Linked DNA regions of Drosophila melanogaster. The gene in region 3 interacts genetically with the main gene of each other region. Each region holds a gene or a part of one and is shown on either strand. Other genes may lie near its edges.

Region 1 (7,908 bases), on a different chromosome or scaffold from region 3:
TGCCGCGTCTGCATGTGGCCATACGTGATGTGGCGCTACAGCCTGGCCATTGAGGCTGCATCCCTGTGGTCGGCCATGTGGGGCCTGCCGCGAGGATGCCTCATCAGCATCGCTATACTGTTCTTGCCACAGCTCTACTGGTTCTATCTGATGGTTTTGGGTGCTCTCAAGGTGTGTGCCAGCTGAGATCGTATACATTGTATTGTGTCTTGCTCACATGCATGTGTCTCTTTCATTTTCAGGTCTTTCTACCGCAAAAGAGACGGCCGCCCAACGCAGTTCTATCGGCAAAGTCGGCGGCCGTGCCCACACCAACCCCCACCGCCCTTATAAATGGCAAAAATTAGTGCAAATTGTATTTATTTTGAGGCAGAGTTCCAGCCGCATCCGTTTTGCGGAGATCTTGCTATTGTTTATACATTTTTAATTATACAACAAGAACGACCCACTACTAACCGGAAAACTGAAAACCGGAAACAGAAAACCATGACGGACGGAGGATGAAAAAGGCAGCGGAAACGATGGCGACCTACAAATGAACCGAAGACCATGGACAGACCCTTAGTGTTAAATAAAGACATTATTTACTAAAAAAAAAACAAAAAAAAGAACGATAAAGATGAAAGTGAAGAACTAAGAACAAGAACAAAACTAAAACCAAATGCAGATAAAGCGAATAAACTATGTTGCTTATTTTTTGAAGCAAGCCCCTAACCATTAACGAATTAATGTTGCATTCAATTTCCGCTATATCCACGAAATCGATGTTGTTAACCGCCCCGAAAAATTGTCGAGGGGAATGAATGCTTGTGTTAATACCATAACCTGTTAGTAATATATATATTGCAAATGCAAATGCGGAAGAAGGATAACTGAGCATAGCATATGAAAGCCAAAAGAAATTGGCCAGATGCACAGCTAGGAATGTTCGATGTGCATATATTAATATACATATACATATATATATATATATTAATATTGTGAAAGTCACCAAGGATATATATATAGATACCAGATAACCGGGGACCGTAGATCATTTTTCGGCCATCTATGTAGAGAATATGGTCAAGTGGAAAACGATGTATATATATTTTCTGAATTGCATATCACGATATTTTACAAGACACAAGAATATTAGTAATCAGAATTTTAATTGTGCTACATTAGTATCTTCTTTATCTTATCGTTTAAATTCAAATGCTGTAAACTTGTTTGATATATTTCGATATGCTCATTTTGCGAAGCTTCTGATGTTCAGACAATTTGATATTGATTTGTTTTACTAGATTATCTTTATTAGGTTATCAAAGAAATGAAAAAAAAAACACATTTGTTACATTTTCCACCTACGAGTATAATATATATGTATATTGGCCTACTTTGTGCGCTTTAGCCTAACTTGCTTAGTTCATTACATTATACCATTGAAAACTCTTCCAAAATAAACAAATAGCACAATCCAGACTTATAAGCATTACGGTCCCTGAAATAGAAGTCCTATATTGGTTGCTTTTAAACGAACTACCTATGTACGCTGGACATTGGTGTATATGTTTATTTGTGAACTGTATGTGAAACTAGCACAAAATCAAATTTTAATTGAGCTTACAAGAATATAATTATATATGTAGTTAACTATTTATATGTAACAATGTGGCGCAACATCGCTTTGGCTTATTGCCAAGTCAATGAAAAACGCAGAACGGCAGCTCCTATGTGTTTTGTTTAAGACCGGTCCCGGATTGGATGCTTAGTTATGCGTAGATGTATGCGAAACCCATGTATTTTGAACTGTACAAATGGATTTAGCCGTGTGCATAGAGTAGATGAAAAGTGTATTTTTGAGAGGTCAGGCTGCCCTATGGCCACCGAACGAATGGACGAAATAAAGTTGCTACAGTTCCACAGTACATCAGTGGTCTGTTTTTGTTGTTTTACTCTGCTTGTTACAAGGTGGCCCGCTTGCTGTTGGGCAGAGCATCGCCCTCGTCATCGCTGCGATCCGCACGTCGCCGCTTCTTTTGGTGCTCCTCGACCAGCTCCGAGGTGCGAATCTTGTTGCCCGTCATCTGCAGCCATTCGATGTACTGAAATTATGTGATTAATATAACACTCCGTGCCCACTTGACTGGTAGTACAGCCACCCACCTGACTGTTGGTGCGCACTCCAGCCTCGTGCAGCTTGGCCTCGATGTTATCCAGTCGATGCTCCGCCTTGGCTGCCTGTCCGTCGCTCTTCGAGATGTCCAGGAGATGACGTACCCTCTGGCGCAGCGTTTCGAAGATGATGCGGCCGATGACATGGTTGCGATCGTAGGGCGTCAGATAGCGACCGAACTCGTAGAAGTACGGGTGCAGGCGTCCCAGCTCGATGTGCGTGGTCTCCGCCTCGCAGACGGCCTTATGCACATTGCGATAGATATCTGGCACGGCGACGGTGAAGTAGGCATTGTTTACCTTCAGCTCCTTGATGTACCACAACGGCAGATTGACCGTCCTGCCGGGCTCCAGGTCATCCGATTCCGCGCCGGAGTCCAGGAATCCTGCAAGCAACTCAATATTGTCGGATTACTGGCCAGAATGTGCGTGTCCGTCCAAGCCAATCACTTACCCATCCGCTGCAGCTTGGTGTTCACCCGACATTCCACCTTCTCCTGGGTCACGAATATGTCCTCGATGGAGTAATAGTTCGGAAAATAGTTCATTCCGTTCATTGCGCGGCCCAGCTTTATGATTCGTTTGGTGTTTACTTTAGGTAAATTCAATTTCTTAAGTGCGCGACCTATCGCCTATCGATATTAGATGCATTTTGCCGGGGTCTATCGAGGCAGAAACAGCTGTTTGCCTGGATGCCGAGGCACTCGATAGGTTTTATGTACTATATATATCGAAGCATTTATATGTATTATATGTAAATAGTTTTTCCGGAAAATTACTCTTATTTCAGCGCGAATTTTAAATTGCAGCCTGCACTTGACATTTTTTTATACATAAAATTACTAGTCAGGGTATAATTACTCAAAGTTGTAAATGATGTGGAACATGTGAACTCAGCTTAGTAATAGTAATTCGATACGATTGCAATTAGATGGTTACTTCTTCCGCAAGTTCTTAGGCTTATCTGCATCTTTCAAAAACAAATAAAAATAAAGGTTTCGTTCCCGGCAATGACTATTTTGACTTCAATTTCGAACAATTGATCTTAATCTAGCCGTATGATCATCAAGTCGTCGATAAAGTCGCCCATATTAAAAATCATCAATCCACTTGAGATCAAAAATAGCAAAGCCGCGTGCTTCGAGTTTTTCTTGTTGGCGACGAGGAACGGACAGATGGTCGAAAGAGCCATTTCGATTTAGCTATGTGTGTGCAAGGATTAGAGAAATGTGTGTGTAGTTAATATCAGTTAATAACGAAATCATAGGGAGCACACAACTTGTTCGGTCGAGATTTGAGTTCACAGTAAGAAGTTTGAAGGCACGAGCGTTGAAGTGCGAAAAAGGACTTTGACAGTTAACTCCCGCGTTGCTGAGCACTGGCTGGCTTCGTTGCCCATCGGACTATCGATAAAGTCGAACTGTAAAGCCGCCGCCACCAAAAACTTTTTCAGCCTTCCGGCAAACGGTCATACTCAGCTAGCTGTCCGACGAGTTTTGTTATTGGCGGAGAAAAGATTACGCTGGTTTATAAATTCTCAGTTAAGCCGATTTCTCAGCTCCTCTCCCCCTGCAGAGATCTAACACATCTATATAGATATATATATTTTATATATTCCTTGATCGATTTGCGATCCCGAAAGTCGATCAGCCGTGCGTCTATATATTTTTTTTTCTGTTCTTGCCCCTCGTGCAACATCAGTGAACATCAGCGGCCCACCGTACAAAATCTCAATAAGAAAAAAAGAGAGCATAAAGTGAAATTGCCTTTTGCGGCAAGTAAGAAAACGACCAAAAAAGAGAAAAGAATATAACGACTATTTGAATTAAACAAAGTTTATTGTTTACAATAGCATACAATACAAGTTTATAAGCTAACGGGCGTCGCTGTGCGTGTGTGTGTGCTTGTGTGTGCGTGCGTGTAGTTGTTGCGCCAAAAATTCCAATCGGAATTCTGGAACAGCTGGCCACAACAACAAAACGCGGCCAATAGAAGAACAATTTAGCTGCTGAAAAATGGGCGACTTCGATCTGAATGTGGACAGCTTGATACAGCGGCTGCTGGAGAGTAAGTAGATGCGAAATTTCCCCCTCTTTCAATCCTACTTTCCCAAAACCTCCCCCCCAAACCCTCTACGCCCCTCCCACGCCACTGTCCCCATTTTAATTTATTACACAGTTTATCTGCGTGTGTGTGTGTGTGCGATTGCATTTTCTAATTATTGCACATTGTTCGCTTAAATGGTAGTAGGTTTTCTTTTTGTTGTTGCGACAGCCCCTCTCTCTACCGCCGCCGCCGCCACCGCTGCTGCCGCTGCAACCGTTTGAATTTGACTCTTGAATCAATTAGTTTTAATTGATTTTCATTGCTCCTCTTGAAAAACAGCAAAAACCATAAAAACAACAACAACAACAGCGACAGCATCTACGCTACGCTCATTAGCGTTTACATAATACTAACAGTGATCGCGCTGTTAAGCACGCCATCTCTGTCCTGCGCTAATGTCTCCCAAATGATTTTTGGTTTATTAGCTGTGTTTTTTCTTGTTTCGCCTATATTGGCAATGACGTCATCGAGCTGATAAACACGGGCGTGATTCAAACAGAATGTGTAGCTATGAAATCGCCGACGAAGGAATGGAACGGAATCACATGAGTTACTCGATAAGGAGCTTTGTCGCAAGTAACCCCACTGCCCGTTGGAGTGGGATCGCTGTTCGTGTCACGCAACTATCGCTAAAGACGGTTGAGAAATCTACGACCGATATATCCTATATTTCCTAGCCCCCAAGAAGATATTTTTATCCAGCGATCAATATCAATATAATTTTTACTGGGTATCGACCGCTATAGCCGATATCCACTGTATGTGGCTTAGAATGGGTGGTGGGGGCTGTGTCATCGTCGTCATCATGCAACCTTCCTGCAAAGCGTAAAAGCGCTAAATAGTTTACATTTTTGCAACCTCTTCTAGGTTTCGAATGCGATATGCCTTTGCCCTGGTGAAAACCCAACATCTGCGAGGGTTGCTTAAGCCGCTTAGTGCTTGTCTCGTTTTGCAAGTGTCAGCCAATGTCGAAGATACGGCATGGGACGGGATGGGCTTTTCCGCTTTTCCGGGGGGCGGGCCGCCGCCACCATTTGGCTTTAGCTCTGACCGACGCCACGGGGAAATTGCATTTGAACATTGCGATTTTCGGTTTTTGTCCATTTCCGCAATGAGTTTCGCTTTTCTTCCTCCGATTCTGTCTTTCGGTTTCACTTATTTCTTGCGCTGATATGACACGACCCAACTACAGTGGTCATTCGACGGAAGAACACAGCGGAAAAGGAAAACGGAGAAGAATCTTTTCAGATATCGGTTATGTTTCTACGTTATGAAGTATGTAAATATATCATAGAAAGTATATTTCCTTACTTACCGTGTTAGCTACCGAGTGATCACTGTAAACCACTCTCAGCTGCCAAAGCAGATGGGCGATGGGCAAAAGGGGCAGATTGAGCGAGATGGTCGAGGTAGGCCACAACCATTTGTCAAGGTCATCGAGTGGGCTAGGTCATGGCACTACGCCCACCACCCCATCCCCCGAAAAATGCCATTAATTTTGATCTATGAAGCGTCGTCAGCCTCTGTCACCGGCAGCAAAAAAAAAAAAAGAAAATAAAATGGCAAAAGCAGCGGCGGCGGCAGATAAATTTCATTTGTCAAATTGCAAATTGAAATTGAATTTTTAGGGCACTTAGCCGGGCTGTCGTGTTTTCTGGCTCTCGCTTTTCCGAGAAATATGGAAATTTCGCCCTCCTTTTGTGTTCTTTTATGCTTTTTTCCCGCAAGCCCACTCCACCTATCCCACACCCCTTAGTTTTAATAGATCTCTCTCTCTATATATATATATATATGTGTACGTATATATGAATATATATGTATATGTGCATCCATTCGAAAGACTTTAAAAAACAAAAAGAGGCCGAAGAGCACGCCCAGAAGCTGCTAATCGCTCAACAATTGGCCGCCGCCGGCGGAGCATCCGGCGCATCTGCCACATCGCCCACATCCAGCAGCAATTACTCGTCGATGGCGGCGGTGGCCTCCTTTGGATCCGGATACGGATCGGGATCTGGTGCTGGTGCTCCTGGTGCCGGCGCTGGCCCAGGATCCAGCCATGATCCGCTCGACGATCTCACCGAACAGCAGCGCCGTCTGCTCCAGCAATACTCGATATCGCCGCCCAGCGAGACGATGATATCGGCCGATGGCGACCAGATCACCGTCCATCATCCGCGCGAGGAGCCCAAGAAATCCAGATTGAAACTGCGCGATTTTTTCGTCGCCGAGTTTGGTATTACCACTTTCAATCTAAGAACAACCTCCCCTATTGATCACTTTGTCGATGTTTGATGATCATCCATAAGTCCAGTGCAAAAGTAAAAGCCATACTGCAGTGGTCACCATGACCATGAGACTTCATACTCTAAGTAGCGTGCTGTCCTCTATAACCCCCCACCCACCCACGTCACCAGACCCCTGGCGCTTGTTCTCCTCCGTACAGCCAAGCCAATCCAATCCGAAAGCAATCCAATCCCATTCAGCTCTGTTCCAATCAAATGCAACCCACACTTATCACTTTAGGGCCAGCTCACTCGCTTGTCACACGGCTAAAAGCTTGGGAAGCACAAAGGGATTGCAATACCGAACTAATACATATCTCCACTCAATCAGCACTATGTATATCCCTGGGTACACTCAGCAAAACAATATAAACTGCCACTGCCACTGCCTCCATAACTAGGCATTCACGAATGTATGAACGCTATTGATAAGACATTGATAAGCTCATTCTCAGACAGTTCGAATGAATCTTTAACTCATTCTGCGAAAGTTTAAACTATTTTTAATCAAGTAATCCGGTTTTTATGTGGCGGTATAACTTACCCAACTAATTTTGTTTATTTGCCAATGTAATTGCAATATGTTTGATTGGGGTTTGCAATCGATAGCTCAAACAATATTAACTGGAATCCCATCTGCACTTCACTAGAATAGCTATAAGTAGAAACAATTACATCTGTTTTGGGACAGAAGAGTTTCATAATATTTATGATTTGGTGTGGGGCTACCGTTTACTTTTCCGGAACTGCAATCGCGATGTCAGTGCCAACGCTTGACCAACGCCTGCCCCGATTAGGTACATATAAATATATGGTACTTTACAGATGTGTATCTCTATATCTATGTATGTGTCCGTGTGTTATGCAATCACTCCGGCCAATCCCCCCCACCCCGTAAAAGCCACAACCCGCATCGCATCGCCTTCATCTAATTGTTTTCACACAGCGCAAAATCCACTATCGTCAAATGTAATGCGAAACAAATTAAATGTATAAAAATCCGAGAAGAATGCGGCAGCAAGGGGTTGCCATTTCTATGCACTGGGATTGGGATTGGGATTCGGATGGGGGGACGATGATGACGTCGGAAAGGGTGGGCAATGGCAATTGTTGTCCAAAAAAGAATCTCGTTGAATGTGACATGCGACATGGCAAACAACTGCAGCACTTCTGGGTGTTAAACAATAATCATAAACTATATCAAAATTGATTGGCGTTGAGTGTGCAGATAGTTACTCTATATAACAAATCGGGGATTTCGTTATATGTAGGGGGTTTATATAAGTATTTCTGGTTTCGATTGTCAACAAATTCTTGTGAGTTCTCGGGTTATCTAAACTATCACAACCTATAGTAACCGCCA
Region 2 (7,896 bases), on a different chromosome or scaffold from region 3:
AGTTTATTGAAAACTTAGTTCCTGGCTAGAGTATCCTGCATGCAAGTAGTTTCAGGGGCTATGCCGGTTTTCAAAACTAGTATTTGGTTTTCCACAACACATCTATTCGTCATATCCTATTTTGGGAGCCGGATAGTCCTTCTTAACATCCCTTCGTAGTTTCGGGCTAACCCACTCATGGCCTCGTTGCAGCTTCCATTCTGCATCTTCTAGGTGGCTCCAACTTTGGCTCCCTGGCGGATGAGTTCCGCAACGGTGGTGGTGGAGGAATCCCTCCAGCAGTTCGCAGTGGACAACAGCGCTCATTTCTGTCCCTCAAATGCGGCTACTTGATGGACGAGGACTCCAGTCCGGATTCGGAAAGGATGCAGAGTCTGGGCGACGTGGACAGTGGTCACAGCACGGCGCATTCGCCCAACGACTTTAAGAGCATGTCGCCGCAGATCACGTCTCCCGTTTCGCAGTCCCCCTTTCCGCCTCCCTTTGGGGGCGTGCCCTTTGGCCAGCTGGAGATGCTGGAGGCCACTCACCGTGGTCTGCACAAGTTTGTGCCGCGGCACCACGACGAGATCGAGCTGGAGATCGGCGACGCCATCTACGTGCAAAAGGAGGCCGAGGACCTGTGGTGCGAGGGTGTGAATCTCCGCACCGGAAGGCAGGGCATCTTCCCCTCGGCCTACGCCGTGGACCTGGACTACAACGAGTTCGATCCCACAGTGCAGCTGGTGAAGAAGGAGCGCTATCTGCTGGGCTACCTCGGATCCGTGGAGACGCTGGCGCACAAGGGCACCGGAGTCGTTTGCCAGGCGGTGCGCAAGATTGTCGGGGAGTACGGCAACTCACCGACCGGACAGACGTGCATCCTGGAGGTTTCCGACCAGGGACTTCGCATGGTGGATCGATCGGGCCCGAATGTGAGTAGGATACATACATATATACATCTTCATTAATAACCGATATAAAAACCGATTTCGTGAAACAGCAAAACAAAAAGGACAAGAAACCTTGCATCGACTACTTCTACTCCCTGAAGAACGTCTCCTTCTGCGCATTTCACCCTCGCGATCACCGCTTCATTGGCTTCATCACCAAACATCCCACGGTTCAGCGGTTCGCCTGCCACGTCTTCAAGGGCTCGGAGTCGACCAGACCGGTGGCCGAGGCAGTGGGGTGAGTCCTCAAGCAGTCATCCCCCCAAAACAAACGCTCGAATAACATGTTAACACTCCTTCTTTCAGCCGTGCTTTCCAGCGATTCTATCAGAAATTCATTGAAACCGCTTATCCCATCGAGGACATCTACATTGAGTAGGCTTGCAAGGCGGTTTGTGCATTAATCAATACGATATATTTTTTGTGCGGTTATTACGAATAAAAGCAAAGATAAGTCTCAAGAATATTTGCTCTTCTTCAAAGAGAATCTCAAAGCAAAATCAATAAGCTCGCAATAGAAACCCTAGCTATAGATTATTATCATTTATCCGTTTTGAACAAATGTGCAAGATCTTAGACATGTAAATAGTTAGTTAACTTTCGTTCAAAATCCCCACTTCACACTCACACTCACACTGAGCTTCAAGCAATCAGCAATAGTTGCCCCCTCTATAGGAACCGCCTTTAAACTCGAGTTCACTGGATATATGGACAGAAGCAAAAGAACACCTTGAACACCTTGAATTTTGTATCGGGAGTCAGTTGGGTCAGTTGGGTCTATTGTAAATCGGAGATAAGCAATTTGGATTGGTTATAGATATCCAGACCCTCCTGTAACCACATCCTTAACCTGGCAATGCACAAAATAGAGTGAGGCCAAAGTAATTTAGCGATCTTCGTGTAACCTTAGTTTAGTTATGCCAATCTTTCAGTTACCAGAGACTCAACAATATCGAACACCAGCTGCTACGTTTTGAAGTATTCTCAATTAAAGCCCAGTATAAGATGTGTAAACCTTTAAAGTTGTGTACACGCAGGCGAATATATACTGTATATGTATACAAAAGAAATATATAAAGAACCTATAAATCAAACTATATTGGATTATTGGGTGCTCAAGGAAGAAAGGTGAGTTTTATTAGTAAGAGAATGTAAGCCCTTTCATCTTATATTGTAGAACTTACCCAAAAGTATGCACTTAAGCTCAATTTATAGCAAGTTGATAGAATCCCGAAATGATGGTAGATAATATTTAGCAGCCTAAAAGATAACTTATAATTTGTAAAGTAAATTATTTTACACATAAAACATGTGAGTTTATCTCTCGCGGGAAATGAATTGGTGATTTGCATAAAATTACACGACAAGACAAGATAATACTAATCGGCTATATGAAGGCAATGGCCAATTGCAGTTTAGTTTTAAGATTAACTTGTGATGACTTGTTTTGAGCGGGCCATGGAATGGAATGATGGCCCAGAAGTTCCCATTCGGATTCCACATTAGTTTTATTTCACCGCACATTTACCAATGCGGATCTACGCCGGAAAAAGAAACAATCGCACATTAATGAAAACGCCCAGGGAGTGGAGAATAAATGGCCGAGCCATTAAAATGGCGATACATCAGTTAGCCTGGGGGCATCAATCATTATGCAATTTTCGCGAAGCCGGCCAGCAGCTTTGGGCCACTTTCTTCGGAGGTGGTTCAGTGAACGGGTTGTGGCGGTGGGCCTGGTCGGATCTGCCTTTGGGCAAAGTGCTCTAACAGGAGCAGCGACTAAGACTAACTAGTTCGTGTCGCTTTTAATGGAAATGGATACCCGAAGTAGCCTTGGCAGCGACTTTGGCTGGGTTTCGGTGTGGGAACTGGTTTCGGGGTTGGGAAAATCGCGCGGCACTCGCTTGATGCACTTGTCGACGTGCCCGGCCTCTTAACTCTATCGCAAATGTGGCCAATTAGAGATTAAACGACAATTTCAATTTAAAAACGCTTGTAAAACAGACCAGCCGAAAAGCCAACCTGATTTTCCTGAGCTGCCAGTGGCGGCAATGGACTTGTCAAACCGATTCGATATCTAGAGGGGATTGCCGATGCGTTTTAGCAGTCTCTAAATCAGTCAGTAATAAAAAAAATTGAGCTTCTGATTATTCTAGTACATTTTTAAATTCTCTATATCGTAAATTATAAAAGTACTATGCTATGTTCCTACTATCTATCGAATACGCATGCTATTATTCATATATATATTTTTTTTAATACTTATTTAATTAGGACACTCCCTTTATTAATTTACCTTGTGCAAACTGACAGAACTTCATTGCATAGATAGCTTCTGAAGCCGAAGCTCTCGGATAGTGACATCTTATCCAAGGGCTACCGATTCTCGAAGTGCATGAATGGATAGAACCGAAGCTCGTGGAAATCCCCCAAACAAGTTCGCTATCTACGCGCCTGAAGAGCAGCAGCTCCATGTGGAAAGCCACTCCGACCAGCAGCGGCAGTCGAGCCATCTGATCGCGGACTTCATTCAGTCTGCAACTCGCGTTTCAGCCAAGCAGACGCGGCTTAGAGCACAGTTAAAGCCAGGCCAAAACCGAAACTATAGCCAAAAGCCAAACGCGAAGCTAAAGTCGACGAGCTGGCGAAGTGAAGATCGGTAGAGTGGAGTAAATCAAACCGAGGCAGCTAATAAAAAGTGCTAATGGTGTGTTTAAAATATGAATAAACCGAGTATGCCTGAGCCACAAAAACGGTTACAACAACAACCAATGCCACAACCACAACGGTAACAATAACAAAAAGAGATTTTCTTTTTCGTGGGACGAAGAAATCGCATTTGCATTTCACCGCGCTGTTTGGTAGATTAAATTGGATCAAATCGAATCGATGGAAGTTCGGTGTTTGTTTGTGTGCTCGTCGCGGCCAAAAGTGTTGCTACTTTCATAAAAAGGTTATAAGAATCTGGAATAGTGAATAAATAAATGCAAATATTGGAGACCCGTTAAGCAGAGCCGCGGAAGAACGAACAATAGGATTTTGAGGGAGAGTCACCCGGCGTGAGTGGGTAAGTCAGTCAGTCTGTCTGTCTGTCCAAGTTCTGTGCGTCCATCTATCATGCCTTCACTACGATTTGTAACTGTCACAACAAACGGGTTGTTTTGGTTCAGCACTCCCGCCCGGCCAGTTGGGGAAATCCATAGGATCGTTTTACTGGCTGAATTCACCAATGCATTCGCTGTGTGCTCTGCATGGATCAAAGTTATTAAATAATTAATGACCAGCGGTGCAAAAAGAAAAACACAGATTGCTGCATGTTTGGGGCATTATTTACGGCCTGCTTAGCTAGACGTCCGTATCGCAGCTCTCATTAGGCCAAGCATGAAGCTCCAGAACACCCATCCCAGCCTCCCATCGCAGGTGCTATCCGGCCAGCTGGCTATACAGATCATTTAGCCATCGATTTGCATCTCGAAGAAAGCGGCTCGGTGGCTCTAATTTTTGGCAATTACATAAACCCCATGCCCTCGAGGGCCTGTTCCACAAATGATGCGGCTCCAACGAGCCATGAGCCACACTTTGGTAATCTGAGAAAACCAGACAGAAACCGAAACCATTTTCTCGAAGACGTTTATTTTTGGCAGGAACAAATGAGCAGATGAAGATCAATCTCTGCCCAACTGATCGGTCGCCACGGGTCTGTCCACACGGATCACTCTTTCGGCCACGTTCAGATAGGCCTCGTACTCCACAATGTCCGGCGTGGTGTCGTAGTGATAGTGGCCTCCCCAGTTTGCAAAGGAAAACGAGTGGAAGTGCTGCAGGCGGAGGTCCAGTCCCATGTCCTTGGTCACCAAGGTGCCCACTGCGTTTAGCTGGGCGGGCATTTCGTAGAACTTCAACCAGTTTTGGATCTGTTCCTGTGTGTGGATGGGCGTCTTGCTAAAATCTCGCATTACGTGCTGGTGGACACATCCCCTCCTGACCACGAACATTCCTCCCAAGCCCACCACCTGGTCTCCGTAGTGCCGTTCCAGACCCTTGCGAATGCATTCTACAAAGTTTTCCCCTCCAGTGCGCTGTTTTGCGGAAATTCGGAGCACTTGACCTGGTTTTCCCTCGCTGAGGAAGAGGTTCAGGATCAGAGCAGCACGAGATTCGGTTTCGGGAATCCTTTCGAGAACACAATCCTCATTCGCTCCCCTCACAGTGGCCGTGTAGCTTCCTTGAGTGAGTTCATCCTCTTCGTTTAGCGAGAAATTAAAGATCCCCTCGCAATTGGAGTGACGAATGGGCCACGGACCTGCTCCCGGTCCAACTGCAAAGATCTTTCCTGCTCCTTGGGTCCGCCGAGTGATCTCCTTCAGATTGTAGAGCTTATCTCGCTGCACCAAGGGCCGCAAATAGGGTGGCCCTCCTGCTTCTAGGAGAGTGGCCTTTCCGCCCAGTCCACGCTCCACAAGGCCAAACTGGGAGTCCCTTAAATCCGGGCAAGCTTCCACACTGACATCTACGGTCCGAAAGTTCTCATCCAGAGCACCCTGTATGACTGGAGAGCAGGTGGAAAGCTTTATTTGACGTATCCGCTAGATGAGAACTATTTTTATCAGCTATTCCACGCGGGAGTGCTCACCTCTTTTCAGTTCCGAGAGGGGCGGCACATGGAGTGGCCTCTCCTCAAAGAGCAACTGCTCCGTTTGAAGGTGACTCCCGTTCATGGTATCTCTGCAAATATTTCGGTACGGGTTCAGGGCCTTTCCTTGCTGGAGGTAAACTAGCGACTGACCGAAGCACCATCGTTTGGTAAAAATGTCTGTCATTCGAACGCCTGTCATGATAATGTTCTACTGATACAGGGCTTCCAATTTATAAAAGTATGTGGTTTTCTGGTTTGAGTTTCTATTAAATATACTATTTATAATGACCTGTTTTCAAAATAACAAAGTACTAACCTAGAGAAGTAATTTTAGATTTTGTAAATTTGGTTGGCCAGCTAGCTGATAAGCTATTTTAGTATTTGTTAAGCCTGACAGGGATTTGAGCAGATAAAAAGACTGTTTCTGTTTTCGAGCTTATGTTTTGTTTATTTACTATTATTTATTGGGGGTTGGGGCAATGGAAAAGTCGGCTACAACTAGATACGGCAGATAAGATCTAGTCGCGTCCCACTTTGTGAGTGGCCACGGGCTTATCCACCCGCACCACCCGTTCGGCTACGTTCAGGTAGGCCTCGTACTCAACGATATCCGGCGTGGTGTCGTAATGGTAGTGACCGCCCCAGTTGCTGAAGGAGAAGGAGTGGAAGTGCTGCAGGCGAAGGTCCAGGTCGTGCTCCTTGGTCACCAGCGTGCCCACGGCGTTCAGCTGGGCGGGCATCTCGTAGAACTTGAGCCACTCGTTCACCTCCTCGTCGCTGTTGATGGGCGTCTTGCTGAAGTCCCGCATCACGTGCTGGTGGGCAGCGCCCTTCTTGATCAGAAAAATGCCACCCAGACCCACCACCTTGTCCCCGTAGTGGTTCTCCAGGCCCTTGCGGATGCACTCGATGAAGTTCTGTTCGCCAGTGCGCTGCTTGGCGGTGATTTTCAACACCTGACCAGGCTTGCCCTGGCTGAGGAAGAGGTTGAGAAGCAGGGCGCACCTGGGCTCTGTGTGGGGTATCTTCTCCAGGACGCACTCCTCCTGCTCTCCCCTCACAGTGGCCGTGTAGCTGCCGTTCGTGAGCTCATCCTTCTCGTTCACGGACAAGTTGAAGATGCCCTCGCAGTTGGATCCCCGGATGGGCCAAGGTCCCGCTCCGGCGCCCACGGCGAACACCGTGCCGGGGCCCTGGATCTTTCGCGTGATCTCGGCGATGTTGTACAGCTTATCTCGCTGCACGAGGGGCAGCAGAAAGGGTGGGCCTCCCGCCTCCAGCAGCGTGGGCTTGCCGCCCAGTCCACTCTCCACCAGGCCGAACTGCTTGGCCTTCAGATCCGGACAAGGGCCCACACTGACATTCACATTGGCGAAGTTGGCCGCCAGGGCACCCTGTATAACTGTGAGAGAGGTAGGGTAACCATTAGAGCTTTATCTCGACCTCCATCTAGACGAGATATGGCAAAAGCTGAGCAAAAGCTCCACCGCCAATCATATGTTTCTGTTTCTGTTTGAGATTTGCTCAATGAAAACAGCAAACAAAAAACACAGAACGTAGAACCCACCGAAAACCGGCTGTGGAAAGTTCGGCACCGTTCTGCTGAAGGTCATTTGCACATGGCACGTATTGTTATCTGCGGGATCGCTGGGAAATCCAACTCGACTCACCGTTCTGCAACTCTGACAATGGGGGCACGTACAGCGGCTTCTCCTCGAAGAGCAGTTGCTCCGTACTCAGTTGGTTCTGGCTCATTTTGGTTGGAGATGTGTCCTAGTTACTTTGCTCCTTATTGCGATTCTGGCCTCGTTCCGATTCAGGTTTGGATTCCTTTCTCTAGCCCACCAAGTATTCTAGTCGCGCTGAGGCTACCTACCGCTCGCTAGATCGTTGCAAACACGACTGTCTGCTGAAACCAGATGGGGTCTCGTTTTTTAAAGTTGAGTGCTCGGCTCCCGGTTTGCCCTATAGTTAACATTGCTGGTACGGCCGGTCGGCACAGGGTGCATCCGCCGATAAGATAAACTCTTGTGCCGTATTTAGTTTAATTAGAGTCGAGATCGAGTTCTTAAGGTTCCTGCGGGGAGGTGGAGCGATCCATCAGCTCTCACGCTTAATGCGCATGTCAGGAAGGCGTATTTACGGTGCGGCTATTTCGTTACAGTAGCACCTCCGTTTAACGACCTATGTCAATGTGAGGCACACACTTTTCCATGAATGCCACAAAAACTTTCCACTTCGTTGTCACTTTCGCTGCCCGTAAAGGTTCTATAGGGCTCGGACCCTAAAATAACTGGTTGCTGCTCCATTTGATGGCTCACATTTACA
Region 3 (7,771 bases):
CTGTCTACCTTCACAACGACTTTTGCTTGATAGCGCTGGCCAGCGGGCAGATCCTGCTAACCGATGTTTCGCTGGAGGGAGAGGACACCTATTTGCTAAGGGACGAGAGCGACAGCAGTGACATTCTGCGTATGGCGGTATTTAACCAACAGAAGCACTTGATCACCTTGCACTGCAACGGCAGCGTAAAACTTTGGTCCCTGTGGCCCGATTGTCCAGGAAGGCGCCACAGTGGTGGTAGCAAGCAGCAGCTAGTCAATAGCGTGGTTAAACGCTTTATAGGGAGCTATGCAAATCTGAAAATTGTTGCTTTCTATTTAAATGAAGACGCCGGATTGCCAGAGGCCAACATCCAACTGCATGTGGCATTCATCAATGGTGATGTGAGTATTTTGAATTGGGACGAACAAGATCAGGAGTTCAAACTGTCGCACGTGCCTGTTTTGAAAACGATGCAGTCGGGAATACGGTGTTTCGTTCAGGTTTTAAAGCGATATTACGTGGTCTGCACCTCAAATTGCACACTTACTGTATGGGATTTGACCAACGGTTCCAGCAATACGCTGGAACTACATGTTTTTAATGTCGAAAACGACACGCCGTTGGCCTTAGATGTATTTGACGAAAGGAGTAAGACCGCCACCGTGTTGCTGATTTTTAAGTACAGCGTATGGCGGCTCAATTTTTTGCCAGGTCTTTCGGTTAGTTTGCAATCGGAGGCAGTGCAACTGCCAGAAGGAAGTTTCATCACCTGCGGAAAGCGTTCGACTGACGGACGTTACCTACTGCTGGGCACGTCCGAGGGACTTATTGTGTATGATCTGAAAATCTCTGATCCCGTGCTACGCAGCAATGTCAGCGAACATATAGAGTGTGTGGATATATACGAGCTGTTTGATCCTGTCTATAAGTACATTGTTTTGTGCGGCGCTAAGGGAAAACAGGTGGTCCATGTGCACACATTGCGCTCTGTAAGCGGCTCGAATTCACATCAAAACAGGGAAATCGCCTGGGTTCACAGTGCAGATGAGATAAGCGTGATGACAAAGGCTTGCTTGGAGCCTAATGTCTATCTGCGTTCTCTGATGGACATGACCAGAGAGCGGACGCAACTTCTGGCTGTGGACTCCAAGGAGCGCATTCACCTAATTAAACCGGCCATTTCTAGAATTTCCGAATGGTCCACAATCACACCCACTCATGCTGCCAGTAACTGTAAGATAAATGCCATATCCGCCTTTAACGACGAACAGATTTTCGTTGGCTATGTGGACGGAGTGATAATAGATGTTATTCATGATACAGCGCTACCTCAGCAGTTTATAGAGGAGCCCATTGATTACCTCAAACAGGTCAGTCCCAACATTCTGGTGGCGTCGGCACACAGTGCCCAGAAGACTGTGATATTCCAGCTGGAAAAGATAGATCCGCTGCAACCCAATGACCAGTGGCCATTGATGATGGATGTTAGTACCAAGTACGCGTCCTTGCAGGAAGGACAGTATATCATTTTGTTTTCCGACCACGGAGTCTGTGTGAGTGTTCTTAATTGAAGTTTATGCGAGTAAAAGTGCAGTATTTGATTTCAATATTTACCAACAGCATCTGGATATAGCTAACCCATCTGCATTCGTGAAACCAAAGGATTCGGAGGAATACATTGTCGGCTTTGATCTAAAGAACAGTCTTCTCTTTCTGGCCTACGAAAACAACATCATCGATGTGGGTTTGCTAAACATAATATCATTAAACAATTATCAATTATTTCCAACGACAGGTATTCCGTTTAATATTCAGCTGTAACCAACTAAGGTACGAACAGATTTGCGAAGAAGAGATCGCCCAGAAGGCCAAGATCAGCTATTTGGTAGCCACGGATGATGGTACCATGTTGGCTATGGGTTTCGAAAATGGCACTTTAGAGGTATACATACGTCTTACAAATTCGTTTCATAATTATTTCCTGCTAATTATACATTTCCCAACAGCTCTTTGCCGTTGAAAACAGAAAAGTTCAACTGATCTACAGCATTGAAGAGGTCCACGAGCACTGCATCCGGCAATTGCTATTCTCGCCATGTAAGTTGCTCCTGATCAGCTGCGCGGAGCAGCTGTGCTTCTGGAATGTGACGCACATGCGCAACAATCAATTGGAGCGCGAGCAAAAACGGCGGCGCAGTCGACGCCATAAGCAGCACAGTGTTACACAAGAGGATGCTGTGGATGCGGCGCCCATTGCAGCGGACATCGATGTAGATGTGACATTCGTTGCCGACGAGTTTCATCCGGTGAACCGAGGGACTGCGGAACTGTGGCGGAATAAGCGCGGCAATGCCATCCGTCCGGAACTCCTGGCCTGCGTTAAATTTGTGGGAAATGAAGCTCGTCAGTTCTTCACAGACGCCCACTTCTCCCACTTTTATGCCATAGATGACGAGGGTGTCTACTACCATCTGCAGTTGCTGGAGTTAAGCAGACTTCAACCTCCACCTGACCCAGTTACGTTGGATATTGCCAATCAGTATGAAGACTTAAAAAATCTTCGAATTCTCGACAGCCCACTTATGCAGGATTCGGATAGCGAGGGTGCTGATGTAGTTGGCAACCTGGTTCTGGAGAAGAACGGCGGAGTGGCGAGGGCGACACCAATTCTGGAGGAGGCCAGTTCATGACGCCAGAAGTGCGTCCCTAGGCGGCGCACGAAACAGGAAAGTCCAAACTACAACATGGCATTTATAGGATTACTGCTCTACTACCTGATGGTTTTGCTCTTCTACCTCCTGGGTCCGGATTTGTCCTAGGCAAACATTAGTTGTTGGCGCTTACATTTGCGAATGTATGCAGCTAACCAAGTATGATATCTCAGAGGGCGGTGGGTGCGTTGCCCTGCCTTTGTTTGTCAACGCGAGTAACCGCCACCAAATAAACGACATTTCACGAAAAACACAGAACGCGGTTTTGTTGTCTGCTCTTTGTGCTGTCCGTATGTATGTATGCATGCATGTCTGTGTGGGTGGTTGTGCTGTGCGTTTGTTTTGATTTCTGCCAGGCACGCCAGATCAAGTGTTGCAAAAGCATTGGTCCCGGGACAGTGCTGCTAAGTTCGTGTATGGATATCAGTGTTGCGGTCCAATAAATAGGTACGTATCTGGATTGTGGCTCGTCTACTTCTAAGCTGACTTAAATTAATAAAAAGGCTTTGGCCTCAATGTTTGCATTTTGGTTTTATTAAAAAGTTCAAGTCAAGTTTGGGCTATAATTTTTATAAGCTAAGATTTACACACATTGCCTTAATGAACACACGTACGAAATATATTAAGAAGCATTTAAAACAATGAATAAAAACCAATAGCTAACTTGTATCATCGGCAAGGTACCTTGTTTGTACCAGTTTTAGGTACTGAATTCCGTACCGAACTAAAGCCCTTTTCAACACTGGCAGATATGCGCTCTTTCTCGTCATTTCATTCCAATTTTCAAGCTGAAAAGAAAAGAACGTCGTGTGCGTGTTGATGGCGCGATAAGTGAAAAAAATAAAAACATTTTTCGTGTCTTTATGGAATACAATACGAGTGCGTTTTAAGTAAGTGCGTGGCGAAAGTGGCGAAGCAGAGAAAGAATGATGCGCAACTCGCTACGCGTGAGCTCACTGCAGCAACAAAAGCAATAAATAAAAAAAGTGACTACATGCATTCCGCGCACCCACACACTGGCGTAAAATTCATACATATTTAAGTGCATTTGTGCACGCTCGTCAATGGCAAAATCGCGAGCTTGCAACTGCCAGGAAATATTGTACGCAAATTTGTCTAAAAATGATCTCTAACCCATCGCACGCAGACAGACGCAGCGCGCTTATAGGGGCATCGAATGTATGACGGCATATGTGTATTTATTTTCCACACTCGCCCATCGGTGGCAGTGAGTGTTAGTGAGCGACGCGCGTGTGTGAGTGCGTCGAGTGCTGAACTCTTGAACTGCAGTACATGGCTTTAATTCGATTTTAGGGATGTGCGGCTTGACGGAGCGGGAAGCGATCGAATTAATGAGTAAATGATAAACAACTGGACGCTTTCCGAGGCTTCGAATCCCTTGTTTTTCTCTAACAAGTGGCTTGCGGCAGCCATATTGTTTTGCCTTTGCGTTTGCGGCGATGATCGCACTCGCACCCCCACACACACTCAGTCAGTCAGTCAGTCCAGTTTGTGTGTATACATATTTATTCAATTAAATATTTGCGTTTAATTAAAAAGGAGTGAAACTGCAAGAATTGATTTATTTAGGTAAACAAACAGTGAGATCAGTGCAAATTCAAAGAAAGAGAGGGAGTCTTTGTTTTTCTTTTTGGGTTTTCGTCACGCTAATTGAACACAAGCGATTAATTGAACAATCAGCTGTTCTAATGGAAAATACGCAAATCTGGAAAGGATCGCTGGAATTTTCCTGCTTGTGTGTCCGCTCTGACCCATTAGTATAGCATTAGTATTTCAATTTTTCGGCCAAAAACTTGTTTTCCCCCAACCCCAAGTCGTCATCCATTAAATGTTTCGTGAAAACTAGTCAGCAAAAAGCACAACAATAAAACCAGCAACAACTGCTGCCTGCGAGTGACAGAGAAAGCAAGAGATTACGAGAGAGAGTGAGAGAGAACGAGCGCGGCGAGAGAGCCATAGGCATTGGAATATGTATGGCTTGCGCGTGAGTGTGTGGGTGTGCTGTTCAGTTATCTGTGTTGGAATAAAAACAATGAAATTGCAAGGAGATTGCTGCCTGCATTTGAACCCTCTCCGATCCGCCCCATCCCCCATAACCCTTCACCACCCACTCAAAAAAAAAAAAAAAAAATGCAAACAAATATTTTAATGTACATGCATTAATGCCCGAAATGTCTTCAAACGAATTTTGTGTGCCCACAGGTTTAAGTGAAAAGTAGCAGTGCAAAATATATATACACATATCAAAACCCATTGGAATAGTGCAACCAAAAAATCATAAAACAGAACTAAAGCAACGAAAATCGAGGCAATTAAATCACTTCTGGATTCATTTCGGCCCGTTTTTACTAGCTAATTTAAAAATAGCTGCCGAAAGCATTCCGCAACCACTTCTGGTGACTGGCCCCACACCAATGCGAACAATACTCCACGGGATCCTCCGACTTCGAGTGGCTTACGCATGCCTTTGAATTTGCATCTTCGCACCCGCACAGCAGCCAGCAAAAGCCATCGCAGGAAACCCTATGGATGACCCATCAATCAAAAAACGGTGAGTTCAACTGCTCCACTGTCTCCATGCGCTACAATTTCCCCACTTTCCACTTTCCCACTGGTTAAATTGCTCGCATTGCGATAAGAATTTATCTTTTGTCCTCGACAGACTTAATAATTGTTATTTTCGTTCTTATTCGCAAGCAACAGTCGATTATACACATACTAATAAATATACCAAATATACATCATAGAGGCAGGTTTAATGCAAATTTCAAAGGCAGTGTCAACTGGTTGTGGGAATTGAATAATTTTAATGAAATCTCGAAGAAGAAGAAGATATTAGTCACACAAAAAGTTAAAGCTCTTATTATATCAAATCGGAAGAATTTTTACTCATAAAAGAAGCTTTCACACATTCTTGACCTAAGTGCTTATATTAACATATTAGGGCTACCCTTAAGAACTAGCAACTTATGTAAGATCGTTGCCTAAATAGTGTAGCAGCCTTTAAGAATCCTCGAAATTATATTAAAATAATAGGTATTTTACTACATTTTAAATAGTTCTTAAGCCAGTTACAGATGATTTAACTGTGCATTAGATCACCGATCAACTTTTGTAAGCAATTACTAATTCATTTGACCCGTGATTAGTCAGCAAACGTTGTTTGAAAATAGCCAATTGACGAGGTGAAACTTTGCGCCGTCTCACAGTTCTGAAACGCACTGTGTTTGCTGATTGTTTATACCAATAGTTCCCCCAAGCTTGGGGTTGTTTTTGTGCGGTTTCGACTGCCAAACGGATGACTTAATACATATATACGCTCACCAACTTAGGGAGCGGCCAGTTTTCACATTTTACCATTTATTTCTTTTATTGCCACCTAGGGAAGTTTTAGCCCAAATAGATTGGCGAAACCAGTGACTTTCTAAGCATGCTTGTGTGTGCATTTGGTGGTGGTGTCTTAACCACGAATTGTATAATATACCTATGCAAAATGATTTAAATCTATTAACAGCTCACCACCACTGGTGTTGTCGTCTGATTTGTGGGCCTTAACAGGTTTTATGCCAGCCCGTCAACGGGCTGCAGCAAGATTTCCTCAAAATTAGGCAGCTAAATTTAGACAGAAAGAGAATTCACTTGGATCAAACGGAGAGACATGCTATTGACATGGGCCAATCAGTCAAAAAAGTTAATGTAAACATTTGATTTTTGGAGGTCTTGCCTGCCCGCCCGGCTGTTATGGAAATAACTCATCATAATGATGAATTCACCAGGCGGGAAATGAGCTTTTATTATATTCCGGTATATGAACGGGTCCGAAGGTGGTACACACTGTATACTGGGACATACATATGTACATATGTATGTTTATCCATTCCATTCACATGCAAAATGATCAAATAAACGGCAATTAAAGTGTATCTATTCTTCTGGCTGATTTAATTTTAGCTCAATTAAAAGAGACCCACCAGCGACGACAAATCGCTTGGCTTTGGCTTTGGCCGTGACTTTCGTTACATGTTTGTCGCATTCACAGCGAGGTCTTGATTAGCCACTAATCTAGCTATCTGCTCTTTAAAACCCAGCATACCACATGGGAATCGTTGGCGAAGAGCAGAAGCAGTTCCGCCATGAAATTATTCAGCATTGATTACCTCTCATAGATGATTGAGCTGGCAATCCGCTGGTTCTATTCAATGCCTGAAGTCTAGTATTTTAAAGGGTATACAAACTAACTAGCTAATCAACCATCATGGTTTAGTAAAGGAACAATAAAAATGAATTAATTGTAACCACAGAGACGGTAGTCACCAAATCAGTGTGTATAAAAAGGCGATAAAAGGTTTTACAAGATTAGTAAAATGGTATTGGTGACAACTAATCTGAGTAAATGAAGATAAAGATTTGATAGATAACGACGGATAGAAAATTAGTCACTCAAAGCGAAGACTTTAAAACAATGAAATATCCACAGCGCTATTTCATATTGAAAAAATTGTTGCTTTTCTGCTGCCAGATATCAAGATGGAGTTCATATTATGCGGGCAGGGTTTTAATTACACTTGAGCTTACTGAATTAATAATAATTATTATTATAATAATGAATAAATAAGAGTTTTGAATAAACTAAATGTATATTTTGTTCCGTCAGGTTACTAGATTTATATACTGACGAACATGAATACGATGAGGTTCAAGAGATACCAGAAGAGTCAAGCATTCAGCCCCCGGAGACATCAACGAGCCATACCAGCACAAACGGATCCAGCCACTCAGGCCCTGGAACTGCAACTGGACCAGGAGCGACATCTGCAGGCCCGTCAGCGGGTGCGCCACAGTCACCAGTAATTGTTGTGGACTCGGTTCCCGAGCTGCCAGCGCCCAAGCAGAAATCTGTTAAGAACTCGAAGAGCAAACAGAAGCAAAAGCAGTTGGCGAACAAATCGAAGATTCCACGATCTCCTTCGTTGGCGAGCAGCCTGAGTAGTCTGGCCAGCAGCCTTAGTGGTCATAGGGATCGGGACAAAGATCGGGACAAGGATCGGGAGAACCAG
Region 4 (7,450 bases), on a different chromosome or scaffold from region 3:
AATATTTAGCTAATTTCATTTGCAGGCCGCCCTGATAGTGGCTTATATCAACATACGCATCCCAAATCTTCTCGGTGACCTGGTAAACACACTGGCCAGATATGCCAACACGTACGTGATGGATCCGATTAACAACTCGTTCGTAAAGGACGTGAGCAAACCGGCCAGCAATCTGCTGAGCCTATACATGCTGCAATCTGGTTTCACCTTTATGTACATCTACCTGTTGAGCCGCGTCGGTGAGCAGATGGCAGCCAAGATGCGGCAGGATCTGTTCACGCAGATTGTCGTCCAGGACATCGCATTCTTCGATGAGAATCGAACGGGCGAGCTGGTCAATCGACTAACCGCCGATGTACAGGACTTCAAGACCTCGTTCAAGCAGTTCGTCTCCCAGGGACTGCGAAGTGCTGCCCAGCTGATTGGCGGCAGTATATCGCTCTTCATGATTTCACCGCACATGGCCGCCATTGCGCTGGCCAGCGTTCCGTGCGTGGTTATGTTCATGACGTATTTGGGCAAGAAACTGCGCTCTCTAAGCAAAAGCTCACAGGCGCAGGCGGAACGAGCGACGGGTGTCTGCGAGGAGGCGCTGTCCAACATCCGAACGGTTAGATCCAGTGCCTGTGAATACCGCGAGATGCAGCTGTTCGAGGCGGAGACCAATGAGGCGGCTCGCCTGGCGCAGAAACTCGGCTACGGCATCGCAATCTTCCAGGGCCTGACCAACTTCTTCCTCAATACACTAGTCCTATCTACGCTCTTTATGGGCGGCCACCTCATGTCTACGGAGAGTCTGTCGCCGGGTGCTCTGATGGCCTTCCTGGTCGCTTCGCAGGGTGTGCAGCGATCCCTTGCCCAGGGATCCATCCTGCTGGGCACCATGATCAGAGGCATGTCGGCCGGCAGTCGAGTCTTCGAGTTCCTATCGCTGCAGCCACAGGTGGAATTGCTGCGCGGCTACATCATCCCGCAGGAGCGGCTGCACGGCGAGATTCGATTCGAGAACGTCTCATTCGCATATCCCATGCAACCCGATCATGTGAGTTGTATTAAAGTATATCTTCATTTCATTCTCGAGACAATGATGGCATATTTACATTAATCGATGCTCTGTAATTTGTAAACTCGCCACTTTTTTATATAATATTGAATAACTTCTTATCGCTTCCGCAAGTAGATAACCATTTTATAATACCCACAAACATTTATGGCCAATATTTACGGCTAAGTGATAAAAAGATTAGAGTCTAGGCAATGCAAACAGTAATGAACTTCCTATGTCAATTTTTGCTTCATTCACAGCTGGTGCTCAAGGACTTTAGCCTGACGCTCCGCCCGGGCCAGACGGTGGCCCTGGTGGGAGCCAGTGGATCGGGCAAGTCGACGATAGCGTCGCTGGTGGAACGCTTCTACGAACCATCGGCGGGCAATATCAAACTGGACGGCTACAAGCTGTCGGACATATCGCCCTATTGGCTGCGGTCCAATGTCCTCGGTTTCATCGAACAGCAGCCGGTGCTGTTTGGCACATCGATATTGGAGAACATCCGATATGGTAAACCAGATGCGGGCGAGGAGGATGTGTATGCGGCAGCGCGTCTATCACAATCGCACGACTTTGTGACCGCCCTGCCCGATGGATATGCGACGCATGTGGGCGAACGGGGCACCCAGTTGAGCGGCGGTCAGCGGCAACGCATCGCCATTGCACGGGCGCTGCTCAAGAATCCGCGCATCCTCATCCTCGACGAGGCGACGAGTGCCTTGGACGCCACCAGCGAGGCGGAAGTGCAGAAGGCACTCGATACAGTGGTCCAGAATCGCACCACTCTGGTGATTGCCCATCGCTTGTCCACGATACGAAACGCTGACCTCATTGTCGTCCTTGATCAGGGACGCGTCGTGGAGGTGAGTTGTCCTAGACCATTGGTATCTTCAGAAATATTTATATTTTCCCTTGTTTTAGACCGGCAAACATGACGAACTGATGGGCAAGCGGGGCCTGTACTTTGAGCTGGTGCGTCAGCAGGAACGACGGGACATCCAGGAGCAAGTCCAGGCGGTGGAGGACGTTGTGGCCGTCAAGGAGCAGCAGGCAACTGCAACAGAAACTTCAACAGCCGCAACAATTGCAACTGCCGCAGAAACTTCCGCAGCAACAGTGACAGTGGGGAGCAGCAGCTTCGGTGGCAGGGCAAACGCAGCGCAAGGATAGTGACGATGTTAGGCAAATTGAATGATTCCCTATACACTTAATTTAATATTCTTATAATGTTTTCACTTTTTTTTTTGTTTTCAACTGACCAAAAACAAAAATGGTGAGAGACGCTAACAATAAGTATACAATAAAATAAACGCTGAAGACAGTATTGTTTTTGTTATAAACAGAAAGTATTTCATTGTCATTATCGCTAAATTCACCGGGTTCATTAAAAATAGATGGGATGCGTGAACTTAAATTAAAGTTTGAAAAACTGAATATAAAACACTTGAAATCCCAATTTCCGTTAAATAATATATTCAATGGGACCGCATTATTTCTACAACCATACTCATATACGGTCACTCGAAGATTAAAGAAAAACTATTTCAATATTCAATTCTGTTCAATATTTCTTGTTAGTGACAAGCAGCGTGTTTATAATAAAAAATTTGTTCATTAAAGAGTTTATATATTTTTTAAGTTGATTGGCAGCTAGACGATAGTTTTGAGATTCTTTAATGACAGTCCTACGGTCACACTGGCTGAATTGTATTTTATTTTGTGTAGTTTTGTTGTTGTTTTGTTTATTATGCATTTCTTTTTTATTGTTTGAGTTAGCGAGCTGTGCGTCGCGTCGGCATTTAAACAAAATCCGCGGCATTTCGGTAGTTGCGATTAATAATTGCTTGGCGGGAATTACAGTCGAATAAGAAATTGGCGAGGAAAAACCAACAAATGTGCAATGTGCGTCAAGTCAATAGCAATACAAACGAACAATTATGTAAGTGTGTGTGTGTGTTTGGTTTAGTTTAGTGTACAAGTCCAGCAAAAAACAATAAAATCTAAGTAAAAAACCAGTTGTTGTTGCTATTGGCTTTGCTAATGTCGTGTTGTTCCCGTTCCCCCACACACATTTTCTAACAGCGCGTGCATGTGTGTGTGTGTGTGTGTGTGTGCAGCACCTGTACGCGTGTGTGTGTGTGCTTCTGCCTCCGCACAGTGGACACATTCCTGAATTTTGGAGTCCAAAAATATGCAAATTGCCTGAGTGAATTAATTGACTTAATTAACAAAAATTGGACCGCAAGTTATGATAACCATAGTTGATTAAACGGAATTAGTTTCTAGCGGGACTAGTGCGACAAATACTCAAACTTACTTGATTTTTTACCATTCGTTCCATTCGTAAACCTAGCTTGTCTTGGCTATTTTATAGACTTCAGTCAGGGTGGCACACCCACTCATTTCCAATCTCTTCAAAGCAAAATCACAGCACTGTGATATGGTTGGTTAAAGTAAAAGTTCAATGGGTTAAGCAGGTGATTAAAGGCACATTAACCCCTAATGGAGCTTGGACTGCACTTAACGCACGGCTCACATGTGACCACTGTGCGCGCGTGCAAGTGTGTGCGTGTGCATTCGTCATTCATTGGTCATGTTTATGCGGTCGGAAGAGGGACGTGCACAACAACTACAGTTAGCTCAGCTGAAGTGCAATTGCGATTGCAGTTGATCCAAAGAGTCGCGTTTGTTGTTGCATCAACCGGAGTTTTCACGGTCAATGTTGAGCTATATCCATAAATACACAAACATTCATGTGTATTTGCATATACATATGTATGTCCATATGCATATATCCATGGATTATGCATGCAAATCGATGATGGAAATCAGGCGGTATAGCGAATTCCGATGGGGGGCAGCTGACTCAGGATCGAAGTCTTTATCACTGAACCCTAAACTAATGACTACCGGACTCAATTATTTTGTTTTGTTCGGTCATTTTGTTTAGTACGCAAAAATATTTACATGGCTATCGCTTTAGCAATAAAGTTCGAATTGCTGTCCCAGTATATCATAAAAAATCACGGAGAGTTTTGAATGCAATTGGTTTTGAAAAATGCCAAACCTTCCTATCATTAACACTTAAATCAGTTAGAAAAACTAATATAATACTATATTAGTTGATAATAAATGCATTTCATGTATGATATCATTGTAGATATCTTTTTTCTCAACGTTAATGATAATGGGTAAAGATAGCTTATTTATAGACCTACATTGCCTATATGATATTTGCTTAGTTTCCACTGGTTCATATCGACCTGTTGACGATAATTGGCCAAGTTCCGTGACTGCTGGTCTATATTTACTATATTTAATACCTATTCCGTCATCGACTAATACCTTTTTTTTAACCTCCCGCCCCCCTGCTCTTTACCCACAGTGCTAACGTGATCGGGCCAAGGCACAAAAACATTCCATGCATCATCAGCAGCGCCTGCGGGCAAATGGCGGACGAGGAGGCACTGGATTGGGCGCAGGATCAGGACCTGTGTCCGGAGGACACTCACCATTGTGCGCCCATTGTCGGGGTCAACTACTGCCACATCCAGAGGAGCCAATCGTGATGGCTCTCGGCCAGCAATGGCACTGCGATTGCTTTCGCTGCTCCGTTTGCGAGGGCCATCTGCATAACTGGTACTTCGAACGGGAGGGCTTACTGTACTGTCGTGAGGATTACTACGGCCGATTCGGCGATGCCTGTCAGCAGTGTATGGCCGTTATCACCGGACCCGTAATGGTCGCCGGCGAGCACAAATTCCATCCGGAGTGCTTCTGCTGCACGGCATGCGGCTCCTTCATCGGCGAGGGCGAATCGTACGCCCTTGTCGAGCGTTCGAAGCTCTATTGTGGCCAGTGCTATGGCAAACGTTCCTGCCAGCCGGCGGATGCGAAGGCGCGGATCACAACGGCCGGCAAGCCGATGCACTCCATCCGTCTGGTCGAGATACCCAAGGACGCCACGCCCGGCCTGAGGGTCGACGGAGTGGCCCTCGACGATGGTTGTCCCACGGTCCGCATTACAGAGTAAGAAATTAACTGAAATTACTATAATTTACATCAATGAACTCATTGAGATGCATGCATTTGCATTATTTATTAACTTTATTGTTACATTTGTTTCTTGTTGTTTTTTTTAAGATCTTTTTCAAAGATCAGATTGTACTCTTTTTTGAACTTCTAAGTTGCCTTTGCGTTTAATGTACATATGTTATACAAACCAAGCCGTCTTCTCACTTTTTACACACAAGTCACAACATTTTTTTTATATGAATTTAAAGAAGAATGTCTTTTTGGTTACATTTTGTACTGAAAAAAATTTTACCATGGCTCAAATCTACGAAGTACGTATTGTGAAATGATAACTATTATTTGATTGTATATAATTTATTGCTTCAATCTGACTCACTTTTGGTTGCCATTTGTTAAAGTTTGCACATTAGCTAACTAGGTCTAGTCCTAATTGCCAACTAATTTCGCTGGGCGTTCGTCCTTCGACTCTTTCTGCATTTCCCTAATACATGCTTGCCCAAAAAAAAAAAATAGCTTGTTCTGTAACTTCTTCTTGTGGCTAACCTCGATGGCGGAACAGTGCTGTGGGGCGCCTTATAGGTAACAAATGTGCCTGAGTTGAATTAAAAGCAACAACTAAGCTAGTAGTAACACTTTGCTAATTATTGATTTATTTCCTATTATCCAGAATTGATGTGAATCTTACAAATCTGCATATTGGAGATAGGATATTGGAGGTGAACGGCACACCAGTTAGTGATTCGTCCGTGGAACAGATCGACAAATTGATACGGAGTAATGAGAAGATGCTTCAGCTGACCGTGGAGCATGATCCGGTGCAAGTGTGCCGCTCCTGCAGCCAAGCGGACATCCAGCGGGCCATGTCAGCGTCCACGTTAATCCTGCCGCTCAGCACATCGGCCTCCAGTGTCGAGGTGGGCAGGGAGCGTCTGTACAAGACACCCGGCGAACAGGGCACGAAGGCCAGGAAACTGCGACAAGCCACCAATGCCTCTACGACAATACCACCGGCAGCTGGAGCCACCGCAATGACGCAACTAAAGGAGAAGGAGCGTTGTTCCAGTCTGTCCAAGTTGCTGGATGAACAGCATCAGGCACAACAGCATTCGGCGCATCCTCAGCTCTATGATCTGTCCAGGACGCAATCCTGCCGTGTCGTCCAAAAGCCACAACGAATCTTTCGTGCAACTGATCTGGTTATAGGAGAGAAGCTAGGCGAGGGCTTCTTTGGCAAGGTTTTCAAGGTGACCCACCGTCAGAGCGGCGAGGTGATGGTCCTCAAAGAACTGCATCGTGCGGATGAGGAAGCGCAAAGGAATTTCATCAAGGAAGTGGCCGTTCTCCGTTTGCTGGACCATCGGCATGTGCTCAAATTCATTGGTGTTCTGTACAAGGATAAGAAACTGCACATGGTCACGGAGTACGTGGCCGGTGGTTGTCTCAAGGAGCTGATCCACGATCCAGCCCAAGTACTCCCTTGGCCCCAGCGCGTCCGCTTGGCCAGGGATATTGCGTGCGGCATGAGCTATCTGCACTCGATGAACATCATCCATCGCGATTTGAACTCAATGAATTGCCTGGTCCGTGAAGATCGCTCGGTCATAGTGGCGGATTTTGGACTAGCTCGCAGTGTGGATGCGCCGCGGCTGCCAAGTGGCAATATGACGCCAGGCGGCTATGGATCAGGCGCTAACAGCGATGCGCCCATGTCACCGAGTGGAACACTAAGGCGCAGCAAGAGCAGGCAGCGAAGGCAACGTTACACGGTGGTCGGGAATCCCTACTGGATGGCACCCGAGATGATGAAAGGTCTCAAATACGACGAAAAGGTGGATGTCTTCTCCTTTGGCATTATGTTGTGTGAGGTAAGAGATTAAGATAATATGATTTTATTGACCGATTTATCTTTAACTTATTTGCCACCTGCCTTGCAGATCATTGGACGCGTGGAAGCCGATCCGGATTTTATGCCTCGCAATTCGGACTTCAGTCTCAATCAGCAGGAGTTTCGCGAGAAGTTCTGCGCTCAGTGTCCAGAGCCTTTCGTTAAAGTGGCCTTCGTGTGCTGTGATCTTAATCCCGATATGCGTCCGTGTTTCGAAACTCTGCACGTTTGGCTGCAGCGTCTCGCCGATGATCTGGCCGCCGATCGTGTGCCGCCAGAGCGTCTGCTGCACGAGATTGAGACCTTTCAGGAATGGTACGCCAGCTCTGAGGACGCCTTGTCACCCACCTCCCAGCGCAGCTTAAATAATCTCGATGAGTTGGTCAAGAGTGCGGTGGATTCGGAAATTTCGCCGGTAGAAAAAGAGAAGGAGAATATGGTGATTAAGCCCCAGGATATACCGAAATCTCCGCATCTCGGCA

Evidence for each region.
Region 1: of RhoGEF2 (region 3) and flw, changing one suppresses a phenotype caused by changing the other (phenotypic suppression), as found in Drosophila melanogaster (2 studies listed by BioGRID).
Region 2: of RhoGEF2 (region 3) and mwh, changing one suppresses a phenotype caused by changing the other (phenotypic suppression), as found in Drosophila melanogaster (one study listed by BioGRID).
Region 4: of RhoGEF2 (region 3) and LIMK1, changing one suppresses a phenotype caused by changing the other (phenotypic suppression), as found in Drosophila melanogaster (2 studies listed by BioGRID).

The regions. Positions count from the first base shown.
Region 1 is NC_004354.4:10,382,340-10,390,247, forward strand, and holds the start of flw (flapwing), read left to right. Parts: upstream 1-3,620; 5' UTR 3,621-4,172; coding exon 4,173-4,224; intron 4,225-6,103; coding exon 6,104-6,496; intron 6,497-7,908. Other genes in the region: CG17841 (uncharacterized protein), read left to right, coding at 1-171, 243-347; Psf3 (partner of Sld five 3), read right to left, coding at 1,947-2,087, 2,149-2,543, 2,612-2,714. UniProt on the Drosophila melanogaster protein: Required for cell adhesion in non-muscle tissues and in maintenance of muscle attachment. Vital for larval development.
Region 2 is NT_037436.4:1,197,317-1,205,212, forward strand, and holds the start of mwh (multiple wing hairs), read left to right. Parts: upstream 1-3,469; 5' UTR 3,470-3,999; intron 4,000-4,554; exon of another isoform or gene 4,555-4,597; coding exon of another isoform or gene 4,598-5,481; intron 5,482-5,565; coding exon of another isoform or gene 5,566-5,650; exon of another isoform or gene 5,651-5,720; intron 5,721-5,999; exon of another isoform or gene 6,000-6,086; coding exon of another isoform or gene 6,087-6,970; intron 6,971-7,238; coding exon of another isoform or gene 7,239-7,323; exon of another isoform or gene 7,324-7,479; intron 7,480-7,896. Other genes in the region: Aplip1 (APPL-interacting protein 1), read left to right, coding at 193-914, 983-1,170, 1,239-1,311; meep, read right to left, coding at 4,598-5,481, 5,566-5,650; CG9119 (uncharacterized protein), read right to left, coding at 6,087-6,970, 7,239-7,323.
Region 3 is NT_033778.4:17,023,757-17,031,527, forward strand, and holds the start of RhoGEF2 (Rho guanine nucleotide exchange factor 2), read left to right. Parts: upstream 1-3,433; 5' UTR 3,434-3,583; intron 3,584-4,916; 5' UTR 4,917-5,239; coding exon 5,240-5,265; intron 5,266-7,368; coding exon 7,369-7,771. Other genes in the region: Dark (Death-associated APAF1-related killer), read left to right, coding at 1-1,535, 1,603-1,722, 1,778-1,924, 1,989-2,672.
Region 4 is NC_004354.4:12,587,468-12,594,917, reverse strand, and holds the start of LIMK1 (LIM domain kinase 1), read left to right. Parts: upstream 1-2,724; 5' UTR 2,725-2,987; intron 2,988-4,433; 5' UTR 4,434-4,469; coding exon 4,470-5,077; intron 5,078-5,234; exon of another isoform or gene 5,235-5,335; coding exon of another isoform or gene 5,336-5,394; intron 5,395-5,569; exon of another isoform or gene 5,570-5,596; coding exon 5,597-5,662; intron 5,663-5,750; coding exon 5,751-6,948; intron 6,949-7,017; coding exon 7,018-7,450. Other genes in the region: CG1824 (uncharacterized protein), read left to right, coding at 26-1,042, 1,306-1,911, 1,970-2,218. UniProt on the Drosophila melanogaster protein: Protein kinase which regulates actin filament dynamics. Phosphorylates and inactivates the actin binding/depolymerizing factor tsr/cofilin, thereby stabilizing the actin cytoskeleton.